Linked DNA regions of Oryctolagus cuniculus. The protein of the gene in region 1 interacts with the protein of each later gene in a pairwise test. Links are inferred from orthologs where the notes say so. Each region holds a gene or a part of one and is shown on either strand. Other genes may lie near its edges.

The links.
Region 2: the proteins of VIM (region 1) and SMARCB1 interact in binary tests that used the Homo sapiens proteins (3 or more experiments, as listed by UniProt). The link is inferred for Oryctolagus cuniculus from reciprocal best matches to the Homo sapiens genes VIM and SMARCB1.

The regions. Positions count from the first base shown.
Region 1 is NC_091444.1:43,368,680-43,374,553, forward strand, and holds part of VIM (vimentin), read left to right. Parts: 5' UTR 1-2,447; coding exon 2,448-3,010; intron 3,011-3,657; coding exon 3,658-3,718; intron 3,719-5,874. UniProt on the Homo sapiens protein: Vimentins are class-III intermediate filaments found in various non-epithelial cells, especially mesenchymal cells. Vimentin is attached to the nucleus, endoplasmic reticulum, and mitochondria, either laterally or terminally.
Region 2 is NC_091452.1:30,765,749-30,771,282, reverse strand, and holds the end of SMARCB1 (SWI/SNF-related matrix-associated actin-dependent regulator of chromatin subfamily B member 1), read right to left. Parts: intron 2,547-5,534; coding exon 2,415-2,546; intron 2,192-2,414; coding exon 2,152-2,191; 3' UTR 1,840-2,151; downstream 1-1,839. Other genes in the region: DERL3 (derlin-3), read left to right, coding at 58-148.

The DNA of each region.
Region 1 (5,874 bases):
GTGAGTCAGTCATCAAGTGGCCCCTGACCGCGCCACCGCATTGCACTGGGATCAGCATTTCACGCAGGGGGAAGGTCCAGCCTCTCCTCTCCCCAAAGGGAGGTGACTTGCCATTCAAAGGGTTGCAGGCAAACTTACAATGGTGACATTTGCTGAGCAGTGGCTTGAATAAAGGGCCCTCAGAAAGGCAAGACCTTAACGTGGAACATAGGCTAGTCCCAGGAATGCCCCTCAGCCTCCAGTGAATAAGGGAACAAAGGACAGCCACAGCAGGAGAGCTGGCCTTAGAGGGTCCTGTGGCAGGTCCTTGGCAGTGCCATTCACCAGGACTCACTGAGATGAGGTAAACTAAACATTGCTCAAAGAGGTTTGTACAAAAAAGGCTATGCTACACCCTTCAATTGCCACCACATGCTTTTTCTTAAATGCCAGGTGATTTCCAGTACCCGGTCCCCACCCAAAGAGGGTGCAGGAATCTGTTTCCTGTACAATCAATTTACAGAGGTTCTGCAGTTCACCGGTTCGGTACTCCCTAAGTATTCCAGATACTCCGACACCTGTGGTTCTTCAATTGCTGCTTCATCAAAAGAACACTGGCTTGCCTGTCCCTCCATCTCGTGTGTGTGTGTGTGTGTGTGTGTGTGAGAGAGAGAGAGAGAGAGAGACGACTCAATTCCACGTAACTAACAGTGAAACAATAGCCTCTGAGTTCAGCGGTTTCCCCAGAGAGGTTAAAGCGGCTACATCGGAACATTCCCTCCGTGTCCTGATCTCCAAGTTTTTTTTTGTCCTCTAGACAAAAGGCTTCCCCAGCTCCAAGTCCAATCCCACGAATTCCTCTGGAAAACAGGACCTGAGACATTTCCCGAACAATGCACTGGAACCCTGCACTATGCATCGCTAAAATTAACACATACATTCGGTCATTTGAGTTGTATAATTGCCTTTCACTTGAACTCACGAGTCAAAGTGGAGTTTTTAAGCAGCGCCTAATTAATTCTTTCATTGGCTCCCACGTCACCTATAACGACTTCCACCCGCAGAAAAACTGGTGAGCACTGAATTCGGTTGTGCAACTACGGACTCGAGTTTCCTCTTTCACCCAGAACTTCGAGATCCTGTTCAGAGTCGGGTGTGGCCTCACAGTAGGGGCGGGGGGAGGAAGGGGGCGGACGAAAGGAGCCCGGGCGGGCGAGGGCGGCAGGGAACCGTGCAAAGCCAGGTCTTCAACCAGCGCCTTCAAGAGCGCCCAGACCCATGCCTGGTGACGCTCCAAGGGCTGCAGAAGTTTCTCACGAGCGAGAAGTTCGCAGCCTGGGAGCAAAGCCAGACTTCGGCGAGTTCTGAAAAACTTAGGGGCGCTCTTGTGCCCCCAGCCCGGGCCGCACACATCAAAGCGGAGGCCCAGCTCCAAATCAGTGGAGATTGGAGCGATAAGTGCGCGCGGGGCCCGCGGAAACTTGAGTCAAGCTCGTCTAACGGTTTCCCCTGAACCGCTAGGTGCCCTACCCCTCGGCGGGGTGCTGTGAGTCACCGCCCGTGACTCAGCGACCCCACCCTTCTCCCCTGGGCTTCCCTCGGCCGCCGCCTCGCAGCTCGGCCGTCCCAAGCTGGACTGAGCCCCTGAGTCCCTGGACGAGACCGGGCCGGAGCCCCCTAAAGAGGACACACTGAGAAGCGTCGCGCGCAGAGGAGCCCGCCCTTGCAAACAGGCGGTGCCCGAGGCTGCGCGAAGCCCCGCGCTGCGTCTCTGGCTGTGTGCGCCCCCACCCCGCGCTCCAATCTCGGGCGCTCTTTGTCTCTTTCTCCTCCGCGCCTGGCGATCTGCTGGATCCCTTACTCCCCCTGTTCATGCCCCTTGCCCGCAGGTCTCCCCATCCAGAGGCTCCCAAACCGCAGCAATCCAGGCGCCACGCACCGCTCCCGCCCGCGCGCCTCCTCCCACGCCCCCTGGGCCGGGTGCCCGGGACCCTTTTGGTCCAGATCCAAGCGGATCCCCACACCCACCACGGCGCAACCCCGCCTTCATTAACATCCTGGGATGAAAAAGAGTTCCGGCCATCCTGAGGAAAGCCCCAGAAAGTCTCAGCGTAGCCCAGCCCAGCCCACGAAGTAACGGGACGTGGCCCAGGCCAGAGCCTCAGACTGGGAAGGCTCCAGGGCGCCCCCGCCCCAAGCCCCGGCCCACCCTTCCCACTTCTCGCCGGGTCCCCATTGGCTGGCGCTCACGGCGGCTAGGATGGCAGTGGGAGGGGACCCTCTTTCCTAACCGGGTTATAAAAACAGCGCCCTCGACGGGGTCCCGTCCTCTGCCACTCTCGCTCCGAGGTCCCCGCGCCAGAGACGCAGCAGCGCTTCCACCGCCCACACCCACCGCGCCCTCGCTCTCTTCTCGGAGCCCGTCCGCGCCGCCGCAGCCGCCCAGCCCACCACCGCCCTTTGCAGCCATGTCCACTAGGTCCGTGTCCTCGTCCTCCTACCGCAGGATGTTCGGCGGCCCGGGCACCGCCAGCCGGCCGAGCTCCAGCCGGAGCTACGTGACCACGTCCACCCGCACCTACAGCCTGGGCAGCGCGCTGCGCCCCACCAACAGCCGCAGCCTCTTCTCCTCGGGGTCGGGGACCGCGTACGTCACGCGCTCCTCGGCGGGGCGCCTGCGGAGCAGTGTGCCCGGCGTGCGGCTGCTGCAGGACTCGGTGGATTTCTCCCTGGCCGACGCCATCAACACCGAGTTCAGGAACACCCGCACCAACGAGAAGGTGGAGCTGCAGGAGCTGAATGACCGCTTCGCCAACTACATCGACAAGGTGCGCTTCCTGGAACAGCAGAACAAGATCCTTCTGGCCGAGCTCGAGCAACTCAAGGGCCAGGGCAAGTCCCGCCTGGGGGACCTCTACGAGGAGGAGATGCGGGAGCTGCGCCGGCAGGTGGACCAGCTCACCAACGACAAGGCCCGCGTCGAGGTGGAGCGCGACAACCTGGCCGAAGACATCATGCGGCTCCGGGAGAAGTAAGGCTTGCGGGGCCCCGGGAGGGAGCTGGGACCGGGCCCCCCCGAGAGGGCTGCCACGCCCTTGGGGCGTTGGCCGGGGCGGCTGCAGCCTAGGGGACTGCAGGGGCGCGGCAATGTGGCTGCGGCGGCGCAGCCCCGCCCTGAACCCGAGCCGTGCGGTTAGCATTTCCCTTACCCATAACCCAAGTAGGTCCGTTTCAAGTTAAGAGATTTCTTAAAACGACCGCTTTGTGCGTGCTCGAAGGCCCTTGGGCACGACCGAAGCGACGGGCCCAAACTTTCAGAAAGTTTCCCGGCCCCTGCTGGCACGCTGCCAGTCCCCAGGCGGGAGGAGGAGGGGGAGGCTGCGGAGGAAGCAAGACAAAGGGATGGCCGAGGGTCCCCAGGGGCGGGGCGGCGGCTGCCACTGGCATCGCCTTTCCACGCCGGGCCGCCCCAGGTCCCGCGAAAACCCGCCGGGGAGAGTGGTGCCGAAGGCTGCGGTCGCTCGTCTGCTGCCCGCTGGGGTGGCGCCGTGGCTCGTGGCTCGCGGCTCGCGGCTCGGGACTCGCGACTCGCGGTCGGGCGACGTGGTGGCTGGGTGTGGCCGCCCCGCCCCCGGCGGTTTCCCGGTTCCTCTTTGGCTGACGAGCAATTGTTTTCAGGTTGCAGGAGGAGATGCTGCAGAGAGAGGAAGCCGAGAGCACCCTGCAGTCTTTCAGACAGGTTTGTGGACTCCCTCCCCCCCCCCCCCCAAGGCGGCCTCAGGGCCACACCCAGCCACCCCGCCGGCCCGCTCTCAAAGTTTCTAACTTTTCAGTCTATAAGCGCAAAACTTCACATCTGTGCGCAAAGCCCCCTAGCGGCGGCAAGACCACGGCTTAGAGCCTCTCAGTAAAAAAAACCCTTGAATGATTTCCTTAGTTGCTTAGGACATAAAGTCTTTTATACTTTTTTGTTTTGTTTTGTTTCAACAGTTATTTTCCCCCCAAGACATATTTTTTCATATCATTTTTGCAACACATTAACATTCGGATTGCGAACAGTTACAGTTTGGCTTAGATTCTGGTTTGCTAAAGCCAAGCTGGTTGACTTTTTACAAGGCCACAAAAAGCGCAGTTAGGCCCTGTGGCTTCCAATGTAAAATGTGTTGGAGGATGAGACGCTGGCATGCAGCCAGTAGGCTGCTTCCCTGCTCTGCAAGTCTATTGTGGCGTTCAAGTTAGGTGGAAGTTATCACTAGGCACAGCCATCTGCGCGCTCAGCTGAAGGGTGTTAGTGGTTCCCATGGGCTTCACCAGGAATGTAGATACAGACGTGCTGGCAAATGTGGTGGCCCTAGACAGACATAATAGGAGTCTTTGTGTTCCCAGAACAGCTTTGCTGCAGGCTACATTCTCATTGAGAATGTAGTGATGTAAGCACAGTTCTCATTGGACAGAAGTATTTGCCAACATCAGCTACCTACTCTCTGGCCCAGACTTGGGAAGGCTGCGATGTGAAACCTTGCACACGCTACAGTCATTCTTTGTGTTTTGAAAGACCTGTATGGGGGTCTTTGACACTATCTCCATCAACAAAAATAACTGCAGAGTGTTTTTTTTTTTTTTTTTTTTTGGCTCTAAAGTTAGATGGACTTAAAGGAATTTTAACTTACAATTGGAATCCTAAAACAGGAAGATCCCCATCATGGCTTGGTTCTCTGGAACATTCACTGGGGTTGGCTACCAAACACACTCAGGTGAACAGTCTAGGATAACATTTTGAAGATTTGCCTCATTAATCGAAACACAGCAATGTGTGGTTGCTGCCTCTGATCACTGTTCCTGATTTTTACCCCCATAACATGATATAATAGATCCCCCGTTGAGGAAAAAAATAAGGGAAAAAATCCTCATTCTCTTCAATGATATAAGAAGTAAAATATCTATATTTTCCTGTGCTTAACAAGAAGCAAAAACACTAATTTTTTCCAAGTTGGGTCTTTTTATTATCACTCACTCCTTATTCACTTTTGCATGATGGTTTTAGAAGTGTCTCAACATTTTAAGACTAGAAAACTGTAAACTGGACCCCAAATGTAGTTGCTTATAAGAGAAGGGGTATAAGGACCTAACTTAGCACATTCCCTTGAGTGGAAATGAAATCCTAACTGCAAGATCACACATTTTTAATTGGAATGTAGAAGGAGAGCAAGAGCTGCAAAGATTCTTACATGCAAGCATTTGACCATTCTGAAACAGGTTAAGGAACTGAATCAACACCGGGCAAGTACAAAGACGGACACGCCCTTAAAGGACAAGTCAGGGAGTTTCAGAATAGTCCACCAGAGAAAGCAAAGCGAATATAGTTCAAATTTCTATTCCTTAATTGCCTAAACTGCACCTTTGTGAAGGCACACCCTGAATTCAGCATTGGGTGGCTACTTGGTATAAATCTAGCCTTGCAATTAACCATGTAGTTGCTTTGAAGAAAGAAAAAGAACTTACAGATATGCCAAAACTTTTTAAAAATTAATTAATTTGAGAGACAGGGAGGGAGAGGGAGAGAATTCCCATCCCTTAGTTCACTCCCCAAATCCCCTGAATGGCCAGGGCTGGCCCTGGCTGACGCTGGGAGCTGGGAACTCATTTCAGGGTTTCCACACGAGCAGCAGGAACCCACTTATTCTGCACCATTACTGCTGCCTCCCATTAGCAGCAAACTGGAGTCAAGAGCCAGTGGCGAGTGTTCAGCCCAGCGAGTTTTCAGCCCAGCCACTCTGATATGGGACACGGGACACAGGGCGGGCAGAGTGGACAGTGAGAGAGAGAGAGAAAGAGTCAGAGAGAAAGGTCTTCCTTTTGCCATTGGTTCATCCTCCAATGGCCGCCGCCGCCGGC
Region 2 (5,534 bases), on another chromosome or scaffold:
TGCCTACCCCACTGTGGACCTGTGCTGGCCTCAGCTCAGTGCCGGTCCTCCCTGCAGGAAGCTGCTGCTGGATACCCGTGAGGACCCCAATTACCTGCCCCTCCCTGAGGAACAGCCAGGACCCCCTGTGCCACCCCTGCAGCAGTGAGCCCACCGGCAGGCCTCCATCCCCACCCTACCCCGAGCCCCTGCTGCAGCAGGCCAGGCCTACCCAAATAAACAGAATGACCTGCAGCCTCTCGGCGCCTGGCACTGGCTCTCCCTGCCCTCCAGCCCTCTGAGCCTCACTGGAAGGGGTAGGATGCCCGTGGGGGCCCAGCAGACTGGGAGTTCTCATCCTGGCCCAGCAGTGCCTTGATGGAGCGCTGTCAAGTTCCTTCCACCCTGGACCTCTGCTCCCTGCCTGTGAGTGGGCGGCTGGGGCCAGCAGCAGGCAGGCCCCATTCAGCCTGCAGGTTGGGGCCTGCCCAGCCGTTCCCGTCCCTCATCAGCAGCCCTGACAAGTGGGTCCTTGGCACATTTCCAGCAGGTAACAGAGCCCCATGGGGTCAGGTGCAGAGGAGGGCCAGGTCTGGGTCCTCCTGTTTACGGCCTCAGGGCCTTGACCTGAAGTCCTGCACATACGACAGGAGGCAGGCAGCCCTGGCCCTGCCACGTTGGCTGAGGACTCGCTGCCGCCGCCTGCAGCTCCCTTCACCCTTCTGTTGTGTGCGCCACGCGCCCTGGCCAGCTTTCCCTGTTGCTCGAGGCTGCCCACGTCCTGGCTTACTCCTCAGCAGCACGCCTGGTATCTACATGGTAACAGGGACCTGCAGCACAGACTCTGACCTTGGTTTTGCAGTGAAACTTTGTGGAGCACCAGCTGGCCCTGCGGTGTGTGGGCTGGCGGTGCTCTGAAGGGGTGGGCCTGCCTGCCGGGCTGGCAGAGGAAGGCAGGCAGGATTCCCTCTGTCACAACGGCTGTGGGGGCACAGGGCTGCCTCCCACTCATGAACTCCCCAGCAGTGGAGCCCCTGTGTGACCGAGGCCAGCTGGGTGTGCCCCGATGTGGGACTCTGGTGAGTTCCTGTCTGATGGAGGGCAGGGGCCCAAGTACAAACTCTGGGGACCAGAATGCGCTTGGACCCGCTCCTAGGAGCCCCCAGCCCTGAGAGCCGGGCCCATCTTGCCTGCATGCTGGCCTCATCCCTACTCAGTTTTCCTGCCCTGGATGGGGCTCAGGTTGGATGCCAGGCCCCAGAGCGCCTCTGATCTTCAGCCCTGCCCTGGCGAGGGAGGACCTGTCAGCAGCCGGCAGTGGCACATAGCAGAGACCCATGCGCTGCCTCCAGATGCTTCCATCTTGCACACAAGGACACAAGGATGAGGGACCCCACTGGGGGAGAGCTAGGAGAAGACCCAGAGCTGTCTCTGCAGACAGCACATCAAGCCCAAGAGCCAGCAGCTGCCAGTCCTCCTCACTACAGACCCAGGGGAGAGGAGCCGGCCCAGGCCGCAGTGCCTGCCGGGTTGGAGAGGCCCCATCAGCCAGTTCTGGGTACACTGATGTTCCGGCAGTGCCACTCAGGTGCCCCTGGCCAGCTTCTCTTGATGGAGCAGAGACAGGGTGGCCCAGAGCTAGGAGAGCCCAAGGCTCCTTCCTAAGGCTGGCATGGGGGCGGGGTGTGGGGAGGAAGTTAGAAGGCCCAAGGAGAAGCAAGGATGGGCTCTGCCTCGGGCCACGTGGGGTGCTGAGGTGGCTTCCAGGGGAGCCCCCTAACCCCTGCTGTTCAGGTGGAATGGCCTGGCCGGCAGCCTCGGCCCTGCCCACTCTGCCCTTCTGAAGCACTGAACACCACGTGACCTGTTGCCTTTTATTTAAAAAGTGTTGCTAGCCCTGCCTGGGGCTCTCATACAAAAACAAAACACAACCTAAAACGAGGCTTCTTTCTGGCCCCAGACACTGGGGTAGGGGGCTAATGAGTGGGGAAACAGGACTGGGGCTCAGCAGATGCGAGGTATGGCTGGGAAGGGTGACCCAGGGGGTCCAGGCCCCTGCCCCATTCCTCCAGATGGCACCGGCTGTCCACTGCCCCTCTCCTGATCAGAAGAGGAAGGGGAGGGGTCCAATCTTCTGAGCTGCTTCGTGAAAGCTGAGCGCCAACAGGAGGGTCACCAGGCTGGGGCAGTGTTGGCCAGACGCCTCATCCGCCTGCGGGGGGAGGGGGGGGCAGGAGGGGAGCACGGTAAGCCAGGACCAATCCCAGCTGGCAAGGGTGGACGCCCAGCAGGACACCCCCAGCCCTCTCTGAGCCCCATGTCTCCAGGGACCCTGAGGCCTGGGTCTGACCTGAGAGTGTGGGTCACGGGGAAAGGAGACAGCCCTGCCTCCGCCTGGGAAGATGGGTGCCCCTGGGCAGGGCCGGGGCTGGTACCTCGTGTTCCTGTCCTGGTCGCGGATCTTCTTCTCCATCTCGGCGTCAGTCAAGGTCTCCAGCAGTGGGCACCACTGGTCAGCGTCGCCTGTGTTCCGGATGGCAATCTCCACTGTGGGCAGGGGGTTCTCGCTGGGGGAGGGGGGCAGTGACAGGAACAACTGCTAGTTCACAGCTGGCAGCCACAGTCCCCAGAAACCATCACCCCGCACCCCTCCAGCAGGCAGCCAGCCATGGAGGGAAGGCCTAGCTCTTCTGGCTTCAGCCTCCCCTGTGCTGGCCAGGGGATTCTGGCACAGCTGATGGGGCAGCCAGGGTAGCACCTATCCCCTGACCCTCAAGGGAGCTGCCAGAGTGGCCTGCAGCAACAGGGGCACTGGTACGGCCCTGCAGGCTTCCTTTTGGAGACCACTCTGCACACCTCAGCACCTCCCTGTCTGAGCGTGGAAGGGCTGTCCCGACACAGCAGCACAGAGCAGGGAGGTGCGGCTGCTCCACTCGGTGGCCAGGGCCAGATCCACTGACTGAGAACAGGAGGGGTGAGAGGAGGTGCTGGCCCCAGATGCCTGCTCCTGGGTATCCCACACACTTGCCCAGCAGTGCCACGGGGGCCACTCTACACCCCCAGGAAAGCTGGATCCAGAAACCACATTGCCTGGTCCCTCACAGACCGTTCCCTGGCCAAGTGCACACCCAGGGGGAAGTGCGGCTGAGCTGTCACCATTCTGGGCCTTGGTTTCTGAGAAACAGGAGGATAAGGAGGTGGACGCCACCGTGGACACTGAAGGGCCCCTGTGCCCTCTCCCCGGTGGCTCTGGTCTGAAAGGCAGAGCAGCTTCAGGTGCTAAGCACGCATCCTGGCTCGTGGTGCCTGCTTCATCAGGCGCCCCCCACCGCAGCCTCCCCTGGGCCCCTAGGAGGCTGCCCTGTAGACTGCAGCCCTACCAGGTGTCCCGTTAGCTTTGGGAGGGGCGAAGGTAGTAGGGCCCTAGGGAGAGGTCCCTGGCTGCTGCCTTGGTTTTCATCTGGGATATGGGAATAATAAGTATGGCTGCAAAGCAATGTTGGGGGTCACTATATTGACGCAGTCCACACACATCTGTTGAGGGCGCCCCCTAGAGGTGGGGCCTCGCCATACAGCCTCCCTGCAGCCTGTGCCCCAGGTCACCGCACCAGGTGGTCTATGGGCAGGGCCCGGCTCTTCACCACCTGGCCGGCAGGCACCAACACACTGGGGCCTGTTCCAGCCCAGCCAGAGAGGCTGGCCTGGTCTGTGCTGCTCTCTGTGGCCTGGGGGTGTCAGGGACAGTGAGCACAGGGCCTACTGCACATGTGTGCCTGACCGCTTCCTGCTGAAGCTCAGCCCACTGGGTCTGTGCCTAGGAGGCACAGAAGCCAGAGCTCATGCTGGTGACTCAGAGGCTGGGACGGGGCAGCGCCCACCCCTGACTCCCTTGGGGCTGACCCCTCCTCCGCAGCCTGGTTTGGCAATCCAGGAACGACCCAGCCACAAACCCCAAACATTACTCCCCACCTTGAGGGCGCCCAGCTGCCTGCCCCAGGAGGGCAGACATGAGAGGCGCCAAGCCCACGCAGAGGGGAGCAAAACATGTTTTCCTCGCAATTTACACAAGAGCTGGCGAGCAGGGCCCAGAGGCCCCTTTGTTTGCCTCCCCTTGACTCTGGGAAGATTCCACGTCAGCGGCCTGTTCTAAAATAAGAATGGCTCAAAACAACGCTCAGAACGGGCCTGCAGCCAGCACTCGCCGGCCTCAGGTTTGGGGGCCCACTCAGGCAGAGGCGCTGCCCTCATTTCCCAGTGATTCTAGGGGTGCAAGAGCACCCCTGCTGTGACTGCAGCTCACGGGCTATCTTCAGGTCACTGTCACTGTCAAGTTCATGACCTTGTGTGATGAACATGCAAGGCAAGAAGCACTAAGACTCCCCCTTAGAAATGAGAGAGCTAAGATTTCAAGGGAAGGGGCTGGCACTGTGGCATAGCAGGTAAAGCCACTGCCTGCAGCACTGGCATCCCACATAGGCGCAGGATCGAGTGCCGGCTGCTGCATTTCAAATCCAGTTCCCTGCTCATGGCCTAAGAAAGCAGGGGAGGATGGTCCAAGTCCTTGAGCCCCTGTACCCATGTGGGAGACTCAGAAGAAGCTCCTGGCTTCAGATCAGCCCAGCTCTGGCCACTGTGGCCATTTGTGGAGTGAACCAGTAGATGGCAGATCTCTCTCTAACTTTGCCTTTCAAATAAATAAATTAAAAAAAAAAATTAAAAGATTTGCAGGGAAAATGACCCGCCCAAGGCCACACAACCCAGAGGGGACAAAACACGCTGCCCCCGTTCTGTGTGGAATCAGTGCCTGCCAGTGCCAGTCTAGTGGGTGGGGAAGCAGCAGCATCTCCCATGCTGGGCTAGAAAAAATTCTGGGGGCTGGCCTTGTGGTACAGCGAGAGGTAAGACACTGCCCGCAATGCCAGCATCCCATATAGCTGTACACTTCTCATCCAGCTCCCTGCTAATGGCCTGGGAAAAGCAGCAGAAGGCGGCTCAAATGTTTGGGCCCCTGCACCCATGTGGGAAATGCAGATGAAACTCCTGACTCTGACTTCAGCCTGGTCCAGCCCTGGCATTTGCGGCCATCTGGGAAGGGAATCAGCAGATGGAAGACAGATCTCTCTATAACTCTGATTTTCAAAGTAAATAAATAAAACTTAAAAAAAAAAAATTCTGAACACAGAGTTAGCCTATGATCCAGCAATTCCACCCCTGGGCATGTATCCAAGAGAACACACACAGGTGTTCAAACAAAATCCTATACACGAATGTTCTCAGCACCATTATTTTCAACAGGCACAAAATGGAAATAGCCCCAAGGTCCATCAGCTGCTGAAGTGTAGATAAAATGTGGCTAGTCACACAGTGGAATACTATTCAGCCACTACAAAGAACAAAGTTCTGATACATGCTATAATACAGATGCTAGGGGCTGGCTCTATGGCATAGCAGGTGAAGTCACCACCTGCAGTGCCGGCATTCCATATAGGCGCTGGTCCAAGTCCTGGCTGCTCCACTTCTGATCTAGCTCTCTGCCATGGCCTGGGAAAGCAGCA